Linked DNA regions of Drosophila melanogaster. The gene in region 1 interacts genetically with each later gene. Each region holds a gene or a part of one and is shown on either strand. Other genes may lie near its edges.

Region 1 (7,729 bases):
AAGCGTGAACCGTAAACGGTAAACGACAAAACGGAGACGTCGCCACTTTGGCCATGAGTAACGATGAGTGCTCAATTACTTTTCGATTGATCATGGTTTTGGCGCGCGGTGAAATTTAGACCGCCACCCCGCAGTTGCGCCTACCCCCTCTCGGCATCCGCATTCTGTCGACCGGTGGAGCGTAGTCGGCAATCATGAATGAATCGCCGTGTCTGCGAGCGTGAGAGCCCGGCTCGCGGTTGAACAAATCGTGTCGTCATTGACGGCTGTCGGCGGCCGACGGAGCGTATGAGTAATATTCTTGTGAAATTGAACGGAAATAACTGAAATTCATGCCAACCCCCATAAATTGCCGACTATTTGCGGGGGTTACTTCGGAACGGAACAAAACGGAACGGAATGGATCGTTTCGCTTCGGATCGGAAACGATCGTCTCGGAATCGAAATCGGAGAACGGGAGATCCGGAGAAACGGTGAATCGGAAGTGTGTGCCGAGTGAAAGTCATTCGATAAGAGCCAAGTAGCCGCTCATTTCGTTCCCCAGAGACCGGCAAATAGGCAAATTACACATGTTTTGTTTATCTGCGAGCGGGAGAGACAGTGAATAGCTCTCCCAGCGACCTTATCTGGTGGAGATCGGCCCAGTCGACGAATCGATCAATCACTCCACTCCAGTGCGCCGATTATGTGTCATCCCCCAAAGGGGAGCGCTGGAGAGCTGTGAGTATTTCTCATCGTGTTGAAATCTAGCTGGCCTAATCATTCACTAAACGTTTGTATTTTTCACGCCCATTACGACTGGGTAATATTGGTAATAAATCTATTATGTTCGGAATGGCCGTAATATAGAATATTTATGACATTTGTTACTAGTTCACTAACCAAATATTGGTCTCAATCGAATAGCTATTGGATGATTGTACTTGTTGTTGCCTAGTTTAGATGTTATCTCTCATATTTAGTATTATTAAAGTTAACTAAAGTTAGTTAAAGTTATACTTTTCTTCTGCTTTTTTCCATGCTTTCTTCAGCGTATCTTATTGCTCCTAGTTGCTAGTACCCTGGGTACAGGGTAACCCATTGTCCACACCCAGCCGCTATGAGTCGTTTTTGTTTTTTTTTATCGCTCAGCTGTGCTTTTTTATGGCTTTCTCGCGTTGTTTTTGGCACTCGGCGAATGTTTTGAGCGCTTTTCTTGCGATTGCACACTCATGACAGCCGAGAGAGCCTCTCCCTGTCTCTCTTCCGCTTCTTTGGCGATTCGAGCGGAGCGAACATGACCGGCGGACTGGGCGTCCGCCTCCTCATTAGTATGCTCATAGTAACTGAGGAGTTCAGTCAGTCTCCGCCGGCCACAAAAACAAAAAACTAAATATATATACACACATAACCACTGCACGCGAAAAGGCGAAAAAAAAGTGAAGAAACGCTACTGCAAAAATTGTACAAAAAAACAACGCAAAGACGGCGAGAAAGCCACTCCAATCCACTCCACAACACTCCACTCCACGCTCTCCAGCGGCAAGAAATCGACAGCGCTGTTGACTTCGACTTCGATCGAATCGGAATCAAATCATAGCAGACAGTCGAAGGCAGCGCGTCGACACTTAACGCGATAGTTCGTCCAGCCGCGATATAAAGATACAAAGATACGCAGCCAAATTCAACAAATTCAACAAATTCGACAAAGTCGCCTGATTCGCCTGATTCGCCAAATTCGCCAAATCGCGATCGCTTTTATTATTGGTTAGTTTTTTTTTTCGTTTTTTTCCCCGTTGCATTCTGGAAGCTTCTTTCCGGCAAATACACACAAAGAAAAGACTAACAGCGTTACAAAAGCAAAGTGCGTGTCAATCAAGTACGAATTTTTGTGCGGAATTCCCAGCCAACGATTTTTATGTAAATGGTAAGTACAAGTAACTACCGCAGGCGCGTATTTTTTCGGGGATTTTATATTTGCCTTTTCTGCTGCCGATAAGAGAATTCACCTGTGCGTGCTCGGTTTGTTGATAGGTACAGGTGTCTTTCGCTCGATACTTCTGAACCCGCAGAGTTCTTGCCAAGAGCTGCAATGGTCAGGTGAGGTGTCACGTACCCCACACATGATGAAATTGGCCCCAAGGAGGAGGTGTGATGGGTTTAGGGATTGGAGATGGGGATAGGGCTCACAACCGAAAGGGACCATCATCTCCAGCCTCTCATGGGGGAAACTCATTCGTGAATCACTGACACTGTTTGGTGATAGGCATTGAAAACAAGTTATAAATTCATGATGCACAATATGTTAAGTTCATTTTTCCACATGTGAATCATAGCATTTTAAAGTTATTACAATTATGAAAAACCCAAAGTTATTTGAAAACCTATGGACGTTATTTTCGGATGAGTATGACTAATCGTACAGGGGCGACTTGCATTTATTTGCTATTACTATTCTAACTTATTGGGAACTTATTGTTCCATTCAACCACACAACTTATGCAACTAACTTAATAGTTATTGCAACTGTAAAAAAAAACCCTTTTGACGAAAAATGGCCAAAAAAAGAGCGAAACATGTGAAATTAATTTACACGTTTCGTGCCGCGGGGGTGGTGGTGCCAGTGGTGCTGGTGGTGCTGGTGGTGCTGGTGGTGCTGGTGGTGCTGGTGGTGCTGGTGTTGCTGGTGTTTGGCAGGAATTGAAGATTGGATGCGTCAGCGGTTGTCACTACAAGCGTTAGCGATTCGGCACAGACAGGAGGACAAGGTCCGGGCAAAGGGACCGCGATAAAGAGCCGGAGAGCGAAAACGCACGGCAAGAGAGAGTGAATTTCACAAAAGTTTGCAAGACCAATGTTTCGTTGACCATGCTGCTCGATGTGTAGGAGGCGTGTGGAGCGATTGGAGCCTACCCCACCAGACAATATGAGATAGCACCGCCACCGCCAGTGCGGTGGCACCACTATCACCACTACCTTTGCAAGTCGACCTCCACCCGACACACGATGATTCATGATAATTTGGCTAAATAAAGAAATTTATTTTTAATTTGAAATAATTATTTCAGCCAGATAAAGACGGCACTAGCAATGGCCGTAGCTGTAGCTAAAGCGCAAACGATAATAATAACAAATCGCGCATGCTTCGGGCCCCCCAAACAATTGCGATTATATTTATATGTGTGCGTATGGGTTTGCGCATAAGTGCGTCCAGCGGGAATCCCCAAGCAGCCAACAATCATCATAATTCGCCCACTCAGGCACTAACACACACAAAATAACACAAAACAATCGCACCACAATCACACATCCGTACCATCACGTGCGCGAATTTTGGTTTATATTTGGCAAAAGTTGGCCAAGATAATATATAACCAGTCGGTTCAGTTCAGTTGTCCGCGCAGCGTCCGTTAGTCTTGACTTATGGTAATTGGTCCCTCGGCAGGGGGAATACATTTGGCCAACCGAACCCTCTTTTCGGCCAAAGTTTGAGTATGTAAATAACTGAAAATCGAACATACGTATTTGATTTTTTTTTTTTTTTTTTTTTTTTGGTAACTAATAATAGTATAACCTGTTGCTAGACTTTTCTCATGCTAAACACCGACGACGTCTGACGAAGATGTGACGTCAAGAAGTCGTAGTGAAACTCGAGCCATTATGGGTGGGAAAAAAATGAAACTGTGTTATCTTGAGGGCTTTGCGTGTTTGTATAAATTTTGTTTAGCTTATTTCGGAACTTTTTCCATCCACAGACGACAGCTGACCGCCCGCTCGACGTCAGCAGGAGCAGCGGAAGCGGTAGCCGGAGCGGTAACAAAACGGCCAGAACCAGGAATCCAGTGGAACCGCAGCCGCAACCGCCGTTCGTGGATCGACGACGACGCCTGAACAGGAACTGGTCACTGATCTTACTCGCCTTGGCCATGTCCCAGTTTGCCCTCTCCGGCGGCGGTTGTGGCGTCTCAGCGGCGCCCAGTCACCTGGCCACCCCGCCCACTGACAGCCCCTCCAGTCCCATCAATCCCACCAATCCCCTGAAGCACCTACAGAAGCGTTCCAGAGCGGCCAACTTCCGGCTGACCTTCCAGCAGAAATTGAATGCCAGCAGTACGCATCTGGACTGGGAGAACACCTGCAATCTGAAGCCCACGGGTCTGAACGAAACGCACAGCAAGGCGAAACGCTGCAAGAAACGCCAAAGGGTAAGTTTCAAGCGAAAGTTGGCTCTTAGCTGATAAATAAATTGGCACAACTAATTCACACACTATTATCTATATGTATATATGTATTTGTATCTATTTCAGATCCTGCAGAATCTACAGAACCAAACGGGCCGCGAGCTGCGGGGCATCCAGGCCGAGGACAAGGCCAGGATCACCACCAATGCGGACAAGCTGGCCACAGTGAGCACCAAGACTCTGGACATTGTCGAGAAGAACAAGTGGCGATTCTATAAGGGAAACTACAGATTCCTGCCCCGTCTGAATCTCACTAGCAAACAGGTGAGTGTCGTCCATATGCCATAAGCATAATATATGTATGCATATATCGTCATGTGAAGAACTACTGGATCATTTACAAACATCAAACACTCGCGGGGGGTTCTTCTGTTGCCAGGGAGCTTGAGGTGATAAAAAAGAGGGTCACGTGAGGCGTTCGCCCCGTTCACCTGCGTAGGTGCAAACAGGCCGTCACAAGCTAATGGCGAGTGGAGCGGTCATATGAGTCCGAATCCGAGGGAATCGTGCCGCCAGCCGCGAGAGTTGTTGCCATAGTTTGTTTGCGTGATTAAGGGAATTTATCAATCTATATAGAGGGGTATGAAGGAAACTAAGGAAATAAAGATTGAGATATGTATATAGTTCATATGTGCTAGCTTGATGATGGAGTTGTTTTGACAACACTTCCAACAGCAACTTGCATTGAGCACTTAAGTGCCGCCAACTTTTCGATCGCACCTCGTTCGTTTTGTCAGCATTAGCCGGCATTTCGGGACGCCCCATTAACCGTCGATTTGCATTGGTAGCAAACAACAACAGCACGAGGGAAAACATTAGCAATCGATGCCATAACCACATTAAGATTAAGAGCAAATTGACGGCGCGCGCGCTTTTTTTTTCGATTATTGTTTATATAGATCCATCGCGATCCCCCCCAAACCGGCCTTGATCCAGCGATCACGTTTTATGGCCAATCCGTAGATTGGATCGATCCGAATTGAGGCTGAAGCTGAAGCTGAAGCTGTATCTGAATCTGAAAACGAAGTTCAATCCGAATCTCAATTCGTATCTGAAGTGGATAATTTGTTGAATAAACAAAATAAAATCAAGCGGCACATTTTATTTACACTTTTGACAAGTAAACAACAACAAACAGAAGCTAATCAAATTTCGAATTGGATTCGCCACGGACATCTGAATTATGGCGAGAGGAAAATTATGGAGCTTTTCAATTTCGAGACCCTCGAGTTGCGGACAGTTTGATGTTAATAGAGTGGAACCGTTTAGTAATGCCAAATTGTCGGGGTCTGGGAATTCGGAAATATTTTCGCACTGACACGGTGAAATGAGCAAGACCAGTTGAGGAAAAACCCGGAGTGACCGATAGGCCAGTGAATAATGGAAGTAATGGAAGTAATATAGAATGTGGGCTCCGGAATGTGGATGGCGGTACTTGCGAAATGATTGCCACGGAGTACCAGTCGATACGTGACCAAGTATGACAAACGCCGTGCACTAGAAAGGGTCTAGTCCACATTTCAATGAGGTGGATGTCGCTTCGTGAATCGGTCGAGATCGGCTTGGTTGCCCCAACGTGCTAATTCCTTGGTGTCCGGGAAAGTTTCGTATAGGACAGTAATATCTGCAGATAACCAGATGAGTGTAGTTCACTTGGCGTGGCCATAAACAGATACTTTTATGAGATCGCAGGTGCGGCGAAAAATCTCAAGTGTGGTCAAGATCCGCGAAAACCGCCGACTCACTTCGAGTCAGCCAAAAGTCGCGTTCAGAGTGCAAGTGGAGTCTCAAAGGTCGCCACCCCCTGGGAATTTGGTTTTTATTTTTTTTTTTAATTACCCGTTCTGCTAAACTTAGCCAGTCCCATCATAGTTGCCATTCCATTTCATCCATTCATTCACTTAGCCAGCGATTCCACTCAATCGTCTATTCAGGGCGATGAGCAAAGTTTGGCTTTCGCTGAAATTTCTCAATTGTCGTCATAGTCTGGGAAAAGTACCTGGGCCTCGCGGATCACACTGTGAGAAAATGAGGGTAACAATTGACTGCCTTCGCTGCTTATAAGTACTCTTTCGTGTTGAGTTTTTCAGTAGATACCTTTGATCACACACTACTCGATTCGACCAGTCGATCCACCTTTTCTCACTCTGCACCAAGCTCGGGAACTTGCCGCTCGGGATGTGTGTCAATATTTGGCCAATATCGGCTACGTCAATGCCAATTGTGCCAACTAATTGTTGACATCCCCGGAACAGAGTGAAACGGAACCCCCAGATCGGAACCCGATCCGACGACGAGGTGGCAAACGGGACTGATAGAAGAACTCTATATTTAGATGGATCGTTTCGATACCGAGAATCGACGGCCTTTTGACGTCATGCATTCGCTCATACCCACCCAAAAAAAAAAAGGAAAACAACGAATTCGCTGATACCGCAGCGGATCGGTTCGGAAGAAGAAATGACCTTAACGATAATATGTTTGAGTAGTTCACAACGCTCGTTTATTGCAAATGACACACACACGCCGTTTGTGGTCGTTGATCGGGGGGATACGGGGCGCGGAGCGTATACGCGATATGTGATTCATATGAAACAGAGCCGTGGATTCCCCCGAAACTCCAGCGAGAGCGAGCGGGAGCGGGAGCGGGAGCGGGAAAGGGTGAGCGGCGGCATGCGGCGAGCGCGACATGAATGAAACGAAGAGCCAACGTCGACGTCACGAGCGGCCAGCCGAAGCGTAGCCGAGAACTCAAAAAACAGTTACGAGAGAGCGGCGCGAGCGTTCGGCTTGATTTTCACTTTCAGCCGCCGGCCAGATAAGTTTCTGGTCGTTGGGATGAGGGGAGTGTGTGTGCGATGGGAGGGGGGGGGGGGGGGGGTCCGCAAAGGGGCTGGTGGGCTCAGTTCACTCAACCCAAAAAATTCGAACTATAGGATCGACTATATACACCATATGCGATATGGATATCGCAATTTCCGCCAAGGTTTCGCCGTTTCTAATACTTTAATTTTACAATTGGGGATTTTTATTGCAAGCGAGTGCAGAAAAAGGTTTATTCAATAAAGATAACCCCGACCTTCATTCATGGCGATACAAGTAATTAAGGCGTTAAATACTTAAAAATATCATACTTTGCCATATAATTGTTTTATTTTCAATTCTATGCTGATATAATCAAGGATTATGGAGTTGATCTCCAATATGGGTTGGGGTAACTATGATGATTAAGTTGGGAATATATAAGTTTACAAGTTCATGGACAGTTAATGATATAAATAGAGCACTTAATTTAATCTAAAAACTAGTATATATAAAATGGGTGTACAAATATGAATCCATAGATTCTTATCAACAGAGAACCTCTCATTGCAGATCAAAGTTATCAATTAGTCATGTTCCCATTCATAGTATTCATATTTCTTGACAAATCAATTTAACTAACCCGCTTCCAATCTTTTTCCTTGCCCATTCCAGTTGAACCTTCGCCACGCCCATCGCGACCTGCA
Region 2 (4,553 bases), on another chromosome or scaffold:
AGTTTTAATAATATATAAAATAGGGATATCATATGACTTACAGTGGATAGGTTGAAATGCGTGTAGTGGGACATGACGATTCCGCAAAATAGTATAGCCATAATACCTATAGTTGAAAAAAATGTTTAGCTTTTAGAGTCATAGTCAACAACATTGATATACCGCTTAAGTGTATTCCCTCTGCCAAGACGTAAGGTGCGTAAGTAAACATTAGCATCATCGCGAACTCGAGGGATGGATGCTTTCGTAAATCGATGTGCTTCAGAAGAAGAGCCGAAATTAGTGCAAATATGACTCCAATGCCCGCCGAAGCAAAGAACATCGCGCAAAAGGTCTTCAACGCGCTGAACATGGCTTCTCCAGTGCTGGCCTCAGCATTGACGTTAGCGGATTGGGTTATGGATGCAGTCAGCACAATAGATATGGCGTCGTTGAGGATGCTTTCGCCGAATACCAACATGTTGAGTATGGGGTCTACGTCAAGAGCATGGAAAATTGCCACTGTTGCCACAGGATCAACAGCAGAGATGAGAGAACCGAAGGCAAAGGATTCCGAAAAGCTTAGGCTAAAATTTAGGATAAATTATTGAATGAAATTGACAATTTATTTTAAACTTGCCGAAATGCCACCTCCCCCAGGCCCAGCAGGTAAATCCCCGCCCCGATGACTAGTGCAGAAATTGTTGTACCGAATATGGCAAAGACCAGTATGGATCCGATGTTCTGAAAGAAGTTTCCCTTGTGCAGATTGTAACCGGACTCGAATATAATGGGCGGCAGGAGCACCAGAAAGAAGCCCATGGGCGAGAAGACCTCTTCACGTTTCCAACTGCCATTCTGCCCAGACATAACGTTCAGCGAAAGGCCAATAAAGGCGCCCAGAAAGACTACCACAATGCTTTCTGGCAGGTACTGGAACCCGGTCTGGAGCATAGAGTGGATAAGCAGGATGCCCAACATGATAACGCAGATGACGAAAAACAGTGAGAGTGAGGAGTTGTGCTCCTGCTCGACAGCATGGGAATCGATTAGAGGCGGATCTGTGACCAATGTGGATGCGTTTCCCCTTTTCGTGGTGCTTGCATTACCAGATGCAGAAATCGAGGGCGTGACATTTCCAAGCGGACTGTTGACGAAGACATCCGAAACGGTGTGGATAGAGCTACTATTATCTGTAGTGGTGGTGTTGCTTGATGTTTTGCTTTGGGGCACCTCCTGTCCACTGATGCTTTCCGGACCCGCGTGCACCAACAGTAAGAGTGCAGCTGCACTATAAGCTACCCAAACCCTCATTTTTGCCGACAAAACGTGACGTGGTCGCTATTAACGCTCGCATTTAACTTTTCACTATTTGTTCAATTTGTTTTTTCACAAACATCTGTTTATCGCCCTATCTGACGTATATCGGGGAGAGTTGCCGTATCATTTTGGCTTATTGGCGCGTGCCTTTCATATATTCAAAAGAAAATTGTGCACTTAATTGCGTGCAGTATATTTTACCATATAATGAATTTATTTAAATAATTGGCTTTTGCCCAGTCATTGTAGCTGATAGCTCTTGTGAAGTGTCTTGAAAATTGAGCATTTTAAGTTTAAATATTTTTGTCTACGTATTGAGAACGTTTCTTACGGCAAAAAGAAAATTATATATGTATTAGAAAAGTGAAATAATAAAAAACCTTGTTATTGGCAAAGTGATAAATTGTTTAGTTAAGGCTATTACAATAACTGACGATAAATCAGTAAAATAAATGCATTGCCACAATCTACAGTTCGCAAGCACCCACCATTTGTGCTCAAGAATAATGTGCCCTGCGCATCTGTTCGTTCAGGCACACGCGATCTTCTTAGGCCCCGTGGGGTCACACCTTATTTGAAAGATAATGGGGCTTGTTGTTTTCGGTTATATTCAGTGGGTATTAGAATTTTAAAAAATGTACATGCAAAAACTGATTACCAGGCTCCTTGATCTTGGCAGACCTTGTTTGTCTTCTTGGCTGTGGCATGACGTAAGCACTTTTTCAAAAGCACAAATTGTTCGAATAGTATGAGAACCCTAATTGACGACTTTCCTTGACAAGATAGTGTCGAACGATCCATCTCCAAAAGGGCAGTCACTCCATGTTAGGGAAAAGCTAGGGTTTCAACAGATACAGACATTCGTTTAAAAATTCGCTTCGAATTGCGCTTCGTGTAGCGATTGTCTATATCATCGAATATGTATATGTCAATTGCTGTACATAAGAGAAGCCGAGAGAGCAATGCTAAACAGATTTTAAAAATTAGGTATATAGGTGGCTGCCGTGGTAGCACATAGTTTTGTTCTGATAAGCTCTTATTTCTTGCCGACTCATCTTCTCAAATGCTGTCTACAAAAATTTATAAATATTATTCGTCTGTAAAAATCATCCGCAGTTGAACGCAGGTTGAGCAGGAAGCTAGTCGAGACTATAATCCATATCTTGTCTGATCCTTTGTTCAAAACCACAGTGAGTATAAAATAAAGGATCTGGATCTAGATTCACTACAGTTCACTCCGGAGCGGGGTGGCAACGCTGGGCGGCGGAACAGCTGCTTAAAACCCAAAAACGTGGAGATACTGAAGAAGTAAAATCATTTGAGAGTACCGAGAACGCTAGGAAAGTTTCCCTAAAGAGCGCCCAAATAAGTCTCAAAATAATAATCGAGTCAGCCGAAGAGAACCGCCTCCTCCGTTTGCGACGATAAGCAAAAGCCCGCTCTCTCGTTGGAGGTATAAATTCTGAATGGCATTAAAAAGTTGCGCTCTTTTTCTTCAGAACCGTCGCTAAGATAGGACGTGTGTTGGCTGCGCCGCTGATTTGGTTGCCGTCGCTGAACCAGTATAACTCAGAATCAGTGTGTATAATTTGTTGAACTAATAGCTAGAACGTCGAACACGCATTTTAAACAGCTAGCAGCACCGAGCCCTCACCTAGCGACTAGTTTAGCTTTGAACCCGCTCAACGTGCGTCTCATGTATGTAGCGACGATTGTGGCAAACGCGCAGCATAAAAACATAAAAGAAGGGCGATTATATAAAAAAAACTATAACGAAAAGTGTGCGAATACCGGAAAATCCCAACAGCCTCGAGGCGGCCTATAGCTTAGATTCGCGAATGCGAAAATAGATGTGTTTTGCAAGAGTTCGGAAAATCAATTTCGTTAAGCGTTTTTTAACAACCGCTAATGTGGCCTCTCTTTCTCTCTGTTCCCCCAGCTCCACCAACAATTTAGCCGACCGGAACTCGGGTTATAGCACTGCTCCCCCATTGCCCCTTCAAACTTCGAGTTACATATTACAAACTACCCATCAACATGCCGCAAAAGACAAACGGACATAGCGCCAACGGATGCAACGGCAGCAATGGCAACTCATATGACATGGAAGACGGAGCTACATTCCTGTTCACTTCCGAGTCCGTTGGCGAGGGTCATCCAGGTGAGTGCTTCATTGCATCTGCGGCGCCTCCTATTGCATCATACCGATAGTGTCAGTGTAAAAAAAGAAACAATCTCAAATGCCCCTTCGGGCGTGGTGAGAGATGTTGCCTGTCAGTTCTCATAACCTGACCAAACTGATTCTCTAGCGTCTGAGGCCCTTCTGTCTGAAGTCCCTTTCCCTGTATACCCAGTTCCACACCTCCACCGTCTACTCACTTCTGCTTACCGCCTGAACTCTAACAAAATGGCGACGAAATTATGTCCATACCTTTGTTGATTTCTACCCAATTTGCACGACTTGAACAGAGGCTGAGAACGGGAAGAAGAGCTAGTAAAACGTGCCTCTGTTGCATCGCCCGGTGACCAAGCCGGAAAGCTGGGACCACGGAGAACAGCTGGCTTCTCTTGAAATCCCCGCACAACAGCGGGCTAAACCTTGTGCTTGGATGGGCAGACGCAATTAATAGACTGGTTCTTTATCGTTTGCGGCTCTCACATATGTATGTATGTGTGTACAGAGAGACTACGTCATGCGCACCATGTGCTTGTGGCTCATGGGAGATGCGAAATTCAAGTATTCTCTACGTTGTTCTACGTTGTCCACGCACTTGTTCATTTGATCGCAGATGGCGATCAAAACAACGGCCAACACAAACATACCTTACATTTTTCTAGACCGCTGTCAAAGCTTATTTTTTTCACCGAAATTGCCAACCACGTGTTTTGCTCGAGCTCGATCTTTTCGCCCCTCCCAGAGTTTGTTTATATCAGCAGTGGCGACCAGTATAGTAGTGTGTTTGACAACAGCTGTTGATAAGCCGAGCGACCTTTTATACTACGCATTGATTACTTTTACTATTCTATACTATTTTATTTTATAATGCTAATTAAGTCGGCTTGGCAAGCTAGCCCTAGACAATCTAGCCCTATACAATCGTGATGATAAGCGCCGAGTGCCATTCAGAAGAATACACCCCAAATGGTTGACATTAATATCGCCTGTCTTTTTGTAATAAATGAGTGACGGACTTGTTAGAATAGATAATTAGACTAGCCGGAAATTGGAAACCCTGAAACCCATTTCAGAGTAG
Region 3 (4,279 bases), on another chromosome or scaffold:
TGCTGATTTCCACTTGGCTCTAAGCTTAAATAATCTAATAAGAGAGTATTAATTATGCACTTCATTGTATTAGCAATAAGTACAGCTCAACTTACACCGCCCATTGGTATATCGCACCATTACTGACAATGCATTTGGTTCCCTGTTCCCTGTAGTAAGTCCATTTAAAGCTTCCAACGCTCTATCTGTGGTTATAATGTCGGCGTGTCCCCAAAGTGGATTATTTCGTTGTAGCCGTGATCCTGGGCTGATTGGATTCTGTCCATGATGCCTTACTGAGCGCATTGCATTATCACTTGGTGTACGGACTCTGAATTGCATTCTCCTTCTACGATTGCGTCGCCGCGATTTTACCCTAAGGTCTGGAGTTTCCCGATTCGTAATTCCAAGTGCCTGTCCAATCAAATGACGGCGCAAAAATAGCAAGTTAACTAGAGCTCTACGGCGACGCTTCTCAATACAAAATTTGGTTTTATTCATTGTTATTTGTTTAGGCCTTTATTTAGTACTCACAATTGCCATAGTTCGGTTATTTGCACTACATTTTCTAGGGCGACAAGCACCCATTGTTACACGATTTTGGTTGACTAACGAATTTAAACTTGTTGTTGAGGAAAATCCCTAGTTGTATATCCTGCCGCTGGTAATGTTATACTGACAATGATTACGAGCTCCCTTGCTTGACACGTGTCAATTCTCAAAAAAAGGCTGCTTCGATTAAGTTTTTCTTTCAAAAATGTTTATTACTACAAAAAAGTTCATAAATAGGTGGGAAATGTGACTTAAAACTCTATGTGCTTAAGAATACTATTACTCTTACGTGCTCTAAAACTTTGGAATAGCTGGGAAACAAGTACAAAAGTACAAACTAGAAACGTTCAATATATAATAATACACGACCAACAAGCAATGGGAACATGAATGGAAATCAATCAACTAGGGACTAGAACAACGCTTGAGTGGCTCAGTAATAGTAGTTGCGATGAGAGATCTTATCCCGATCCCCTAGCAATAGATGGGATCCGTGCTGTTGACTGGGTGATATGTCGCGTCCATTTGAATGTTCCACGAGTTGTCCACTCCCGTATTGCTGTAGTAGTAGTCGGCGGACTGCATCTGATCCTGCGGCTCCTGTTGATAATTGGTGAGATGCGGAAAAGTTCCCTGTTGCTGATGTTGCTGATAGGCGGTTGCTTCGTCGTAGATGAGATCCACGCCACTGGTCCCTCCGCCATTCAGAGTTGACTCAAACACACTGAAGATCTCCGAGCTGGTTGTGTAGAAACTTGCATCCTGGCTAAGATTCTGGCTTTGGCTTCCATTGCTCACGTCCAGCGAGTTGGGTAGATATCCATTGTAGTAGCCATAATCCTCGGAACAGTAGCCCGAGCTGCTGGTCAAACTGGACGTATCGTCGCATATTTCATACGAAGGCATTCCGCACTGAAGGCTGGAGGAGATTGGCTGGCTGGGATCATAGCTGACTGGTACATGTTGCTGCGGTGAGAGTTGCTGCTGGTATTGTGAGTGCTGCAGTTGCTGCGGTTTGTTCTCCTGGTAATAACTGCCCGTGGAGCTATGCGCTGAGAGAGGTGAGTGGAGCATATCGTAGGAGTACATTCCATTGGCATAGCATGGATCCTCCGTTTCGTAGTGAATCTCTCTATTCCACTGACTGATCACTGATCCTTGTCCTGCTGGGACATATGAACCCTGAGATTGATTAAAGTTGGTGCTATGTGTGGGCGTCGATGTGGGCAGGTAGGTGGTGGGTGGCACCACTAACTCCTGCTTGGTTTCGAGCACATCGGAAGCACCCATCCTTCTGCGCTTGCTCTCCTGGATGGACTGAGTCTTGGCCTGCCGTTTTGTGGGTCTCAGGCTACTCAGCTTGTCGCTCAGCGCCGATTCCCTGGCCAACATTACGGCCAAACTTCGCACACGTCTTCCTCCTGCCAAAAGTCGCCTGGCTTCCGTGGATCCCTTGGCTTCGGGTCTGGGGTGATCGTGGGTGCCCTTGGCCTGGAAATAGATTCCATTTCCGTCCCTGCGCCAGAAGTGGGTCACTGGATAGCCGCAGTGGCCGCGGCAAGCCTGGATTTCCAAGCGACCATTGCAATTTCTGTCAAGAAAAAAAAATAAAAATACCGAGTTAGTTTTGACAATTCTTGGATTTTGTGTTTAGTCAAAAACCCACCTATTGGGACACTGTTTGCCCTGCTGCTTCCTTCTGGCCTTGTCGCAAATGGCGGGTCTCAGATGCACACTGGCTCCATTGGGCAACTTGCACTTGGCACTGCAGAGGAGCACTCCCAGGCAGCTCTTCTTTAGGATATTCACGTTGTGGTTGTTGGTGTTTCGCATGGCCCAACCGCTGGCATGTTTCCTGGCCTCATCACTCTGCACGGAGTAGATGAGCCGGCAATGTCCGTTGGACCAGTCATTGAAATCGTCAAACTCCCCCACCGACGGCATCTTGGAATCGTTGATGTCCCAGTCGATCGCCACCCGGGACTTGGTGGCCGGAGGACTGGGCACAGGCATGGGCACTGGCATCGGTACTGGCATTGTTATAGGCATGCCGTTCAAAACCATTTTTGATGTGTCTATGTAATCGTTAGTTTCAAGTTCACACGCGGTCACTATAGTTTTCCTTCTCAATAGTCTATTACTACTGTGTACTTCTTCTCAACTTTTCTCTGGAGCGACGCGTCCGTTCGCATCGACTGCGCAAGGCTGACTAACTGGGCCCGCTCTGCGCAGCACAGTTAAGTTGCCAGCGGTCGAATCGCACGAGGGTTGCTCGGTCGCAAAGCGGTACGCCCATTGGTCCATGCTGACTTCCAGTTCGGGTGCGCTTGTGTGCGGCTTATCCGCCTTATCCGGCACTCCAGTTTGGGAAATTAGGAGAGTTCCCGAGCAGGTTTGATTGGTAGTAGTGGTAGCAGCAGCTGGAGATGGAGAATTCGTTCTATAGGGAACTGGGAGCTGGGAGAGCTTGAGCACAGGGAGCTGGGAGCTGGGAACTGGCAACTGGGCAGGGAGACGAGTGCTGTGCTGCTCTAGCACCTGCGGTTGCAGCACGCGCTCCACTGGGTAATTGTACGATATGAGAACCAGGGGTTTGAGGCACTCGATGGCAAAGAACACGGCCCCAACCCCAGTCAAAGCTAATTAAGTTCAGAAAAAAAGTTTACAACATCAGTAATGGAAATGGAGATGGGGATGGGGCTGTGTGTGGATGGGGATGTGCTGTATGGCATGGGTTCTGATGGGTACACCTGGCGACAGTCACTGGCAGATGCCAGTGGTCGGGCCTATTTACTTTCGAACTGGATGTGGATGTCGAAATGGGGAGCAAAGTGAAATGGTTGGAGGGCAAGCAGAGTTACGAACAAAATGGAGATGGTTCCAACGAAGCACGGAAAGTAATTTAGTTCAAGGCTTTAAGACTTTTTTAATGCGGACATTAAAGCTGCTAAATCTACTTAACTTCAGAGGTAGAAATTATTCTGTAAAAAAATTTCAAAATCAAACGTAAATTTTAATGGAAATGACTCACAGAAATATAGAAATATTACCACTATATATAGTCACTATTATAGAATTTGGTAAGGCAACGGTATAGCTAACGGAACTACTTCTCACGATCTCAAAATCGATAAAGAAATAAACGTTTGCAAAAAAAGAAACCGAAATGTCGAGCTCCTGCCGATATCTTCAAGATGAAATCAGGGATCTCATAATCGTAAAACACAATTTAGCACGCAAAAAAACGGAAATCAAAAAGAAGAAATCCCATATTGGAAAACCTCCCCTACAAACCCAAAGGCAAATGCCATAACTCACGCATATGAATGAAGCAAAGTTTGCCAAACAAATTCCTTGGGCCCCTTGGCGATCTCAAGTCAGAGATAAACGAAACAAACATAATCATTAAGATGACGAAAGGGTGAGGAAACTCCATAATTTTCACACTTCCACGACAGACCAAATGCCATGCAATTATGACACGAACTGAGCGAGCAACCCGCGGCGCCTTTCTGCCAAGGAGTCGCCCAAAGATCAGGATCGTAGCACGCGATAGGAACTCAAAGGATTACGGCGGACAATGGGAAAGGGTGCTCCGACCGGGACTCGAGGGGCGTTGACACAGAAGAAAGTCATGACGTGGCATATTATGAGGCTGTGCTGGGGAAGCACATCCTACCTGGTCCCAGATTCCCGCACTCAAGGTGGGTGTGTCGCCTTAATGATGCCCGGAATTAACTGTTCCGTT

What was found. A genetic interaction does not mean that the proteins touch.
Region 2: of upd3 (region 1) and Sam-S, changing one suppresses a phenotype caused by changing the other (phenotypic suppression), as found in Drosophila melanogaster (one study listed by BioGRID).
Region 3: of upd3 (region 1) and gcm, changing one suppresses a phenotype caused by changing the other (phenotypic suppression), as found in Drosophila melanogaster (one study listed by BioGRID).

The regions. Positions count from the first base shown.
Region 1 is NC_004354.4:18,275,700-18,283,428, forward strand, and holds the start of upd3 (unpaired 3), read left to right. Parts: upstream 1-1,533; 5' UTR 1,534-1,903; coding exon 1,904-1,906; intron 1,907-3,734; coding exon 3,735-4,184; intron 4,185-4,286; coding exon 4,287-4,484; intron 4,485-7,697; coding exon 7,698-7,729.
Region 2 is NT_033779.5:105,350-109,902, forward strand, and holds the start of Sam-S (S-adenosylmethionine synthetase), read left to right. Parts: upstream 1-1,553; 5' UTR 1,554-1,651; intron 1,652-2,411; exon of another isoform or gene 2,412-2,415; 5' UTR 2,416-2,489; exon of another isoform or gene 2,490-2,997; intron 2,998-3,238; 5' UTR 3,239-3,336; coding exon 3,337-3,460; intron 3,461-4,244; exon of another isoform or gene 4,245-4,401; coding exon of another isoform or gene 4,402-4,444; intron 4,445-4,553. Other genes in the region: Nhe1 (Na[+]/H[+] hydrogen exchanger 1), read right to left, coding at 42-106, 163-566, 620-1,293. UniProt on the Drosophila melanogaster protein: Catalyzes the formation of S-adenosylmethionine from methionine and ATP. The reaction comprises two steps that are both catalyzed by the same enzyme: formation of S-adenosylmethionine (AdoMet) and triphosphate, and subsequent hydrolysis of the triphosphate.
Region 3 is NT_033779.5:9,578,998-9,583,276, forward strand, and holds gcm (glial cells missing), read right to left. Parts: upstream 2,749-4,279; 5' UTR 2,596-2,748; coding exon 2,198-2,595; intron 2,123-2,197; coding exon 1,006-2,122; 3' UTR 568-1,005; coding exon of another isoform or gene 514-567; 3' UTR 501-513; downstream 1-500. Other genes in the region: CG31709 (uncharacterized protein), read right to left, coding at 1-34, 96-450, 514-567. UniProt on the Drosophila melanogaster protein: Transcription factor that induces gliogenesis. It determines the choice between glial and neuronal fates. Also has a role in the differentiation of the plasmatocyte/macrophage lineage of hemocytes.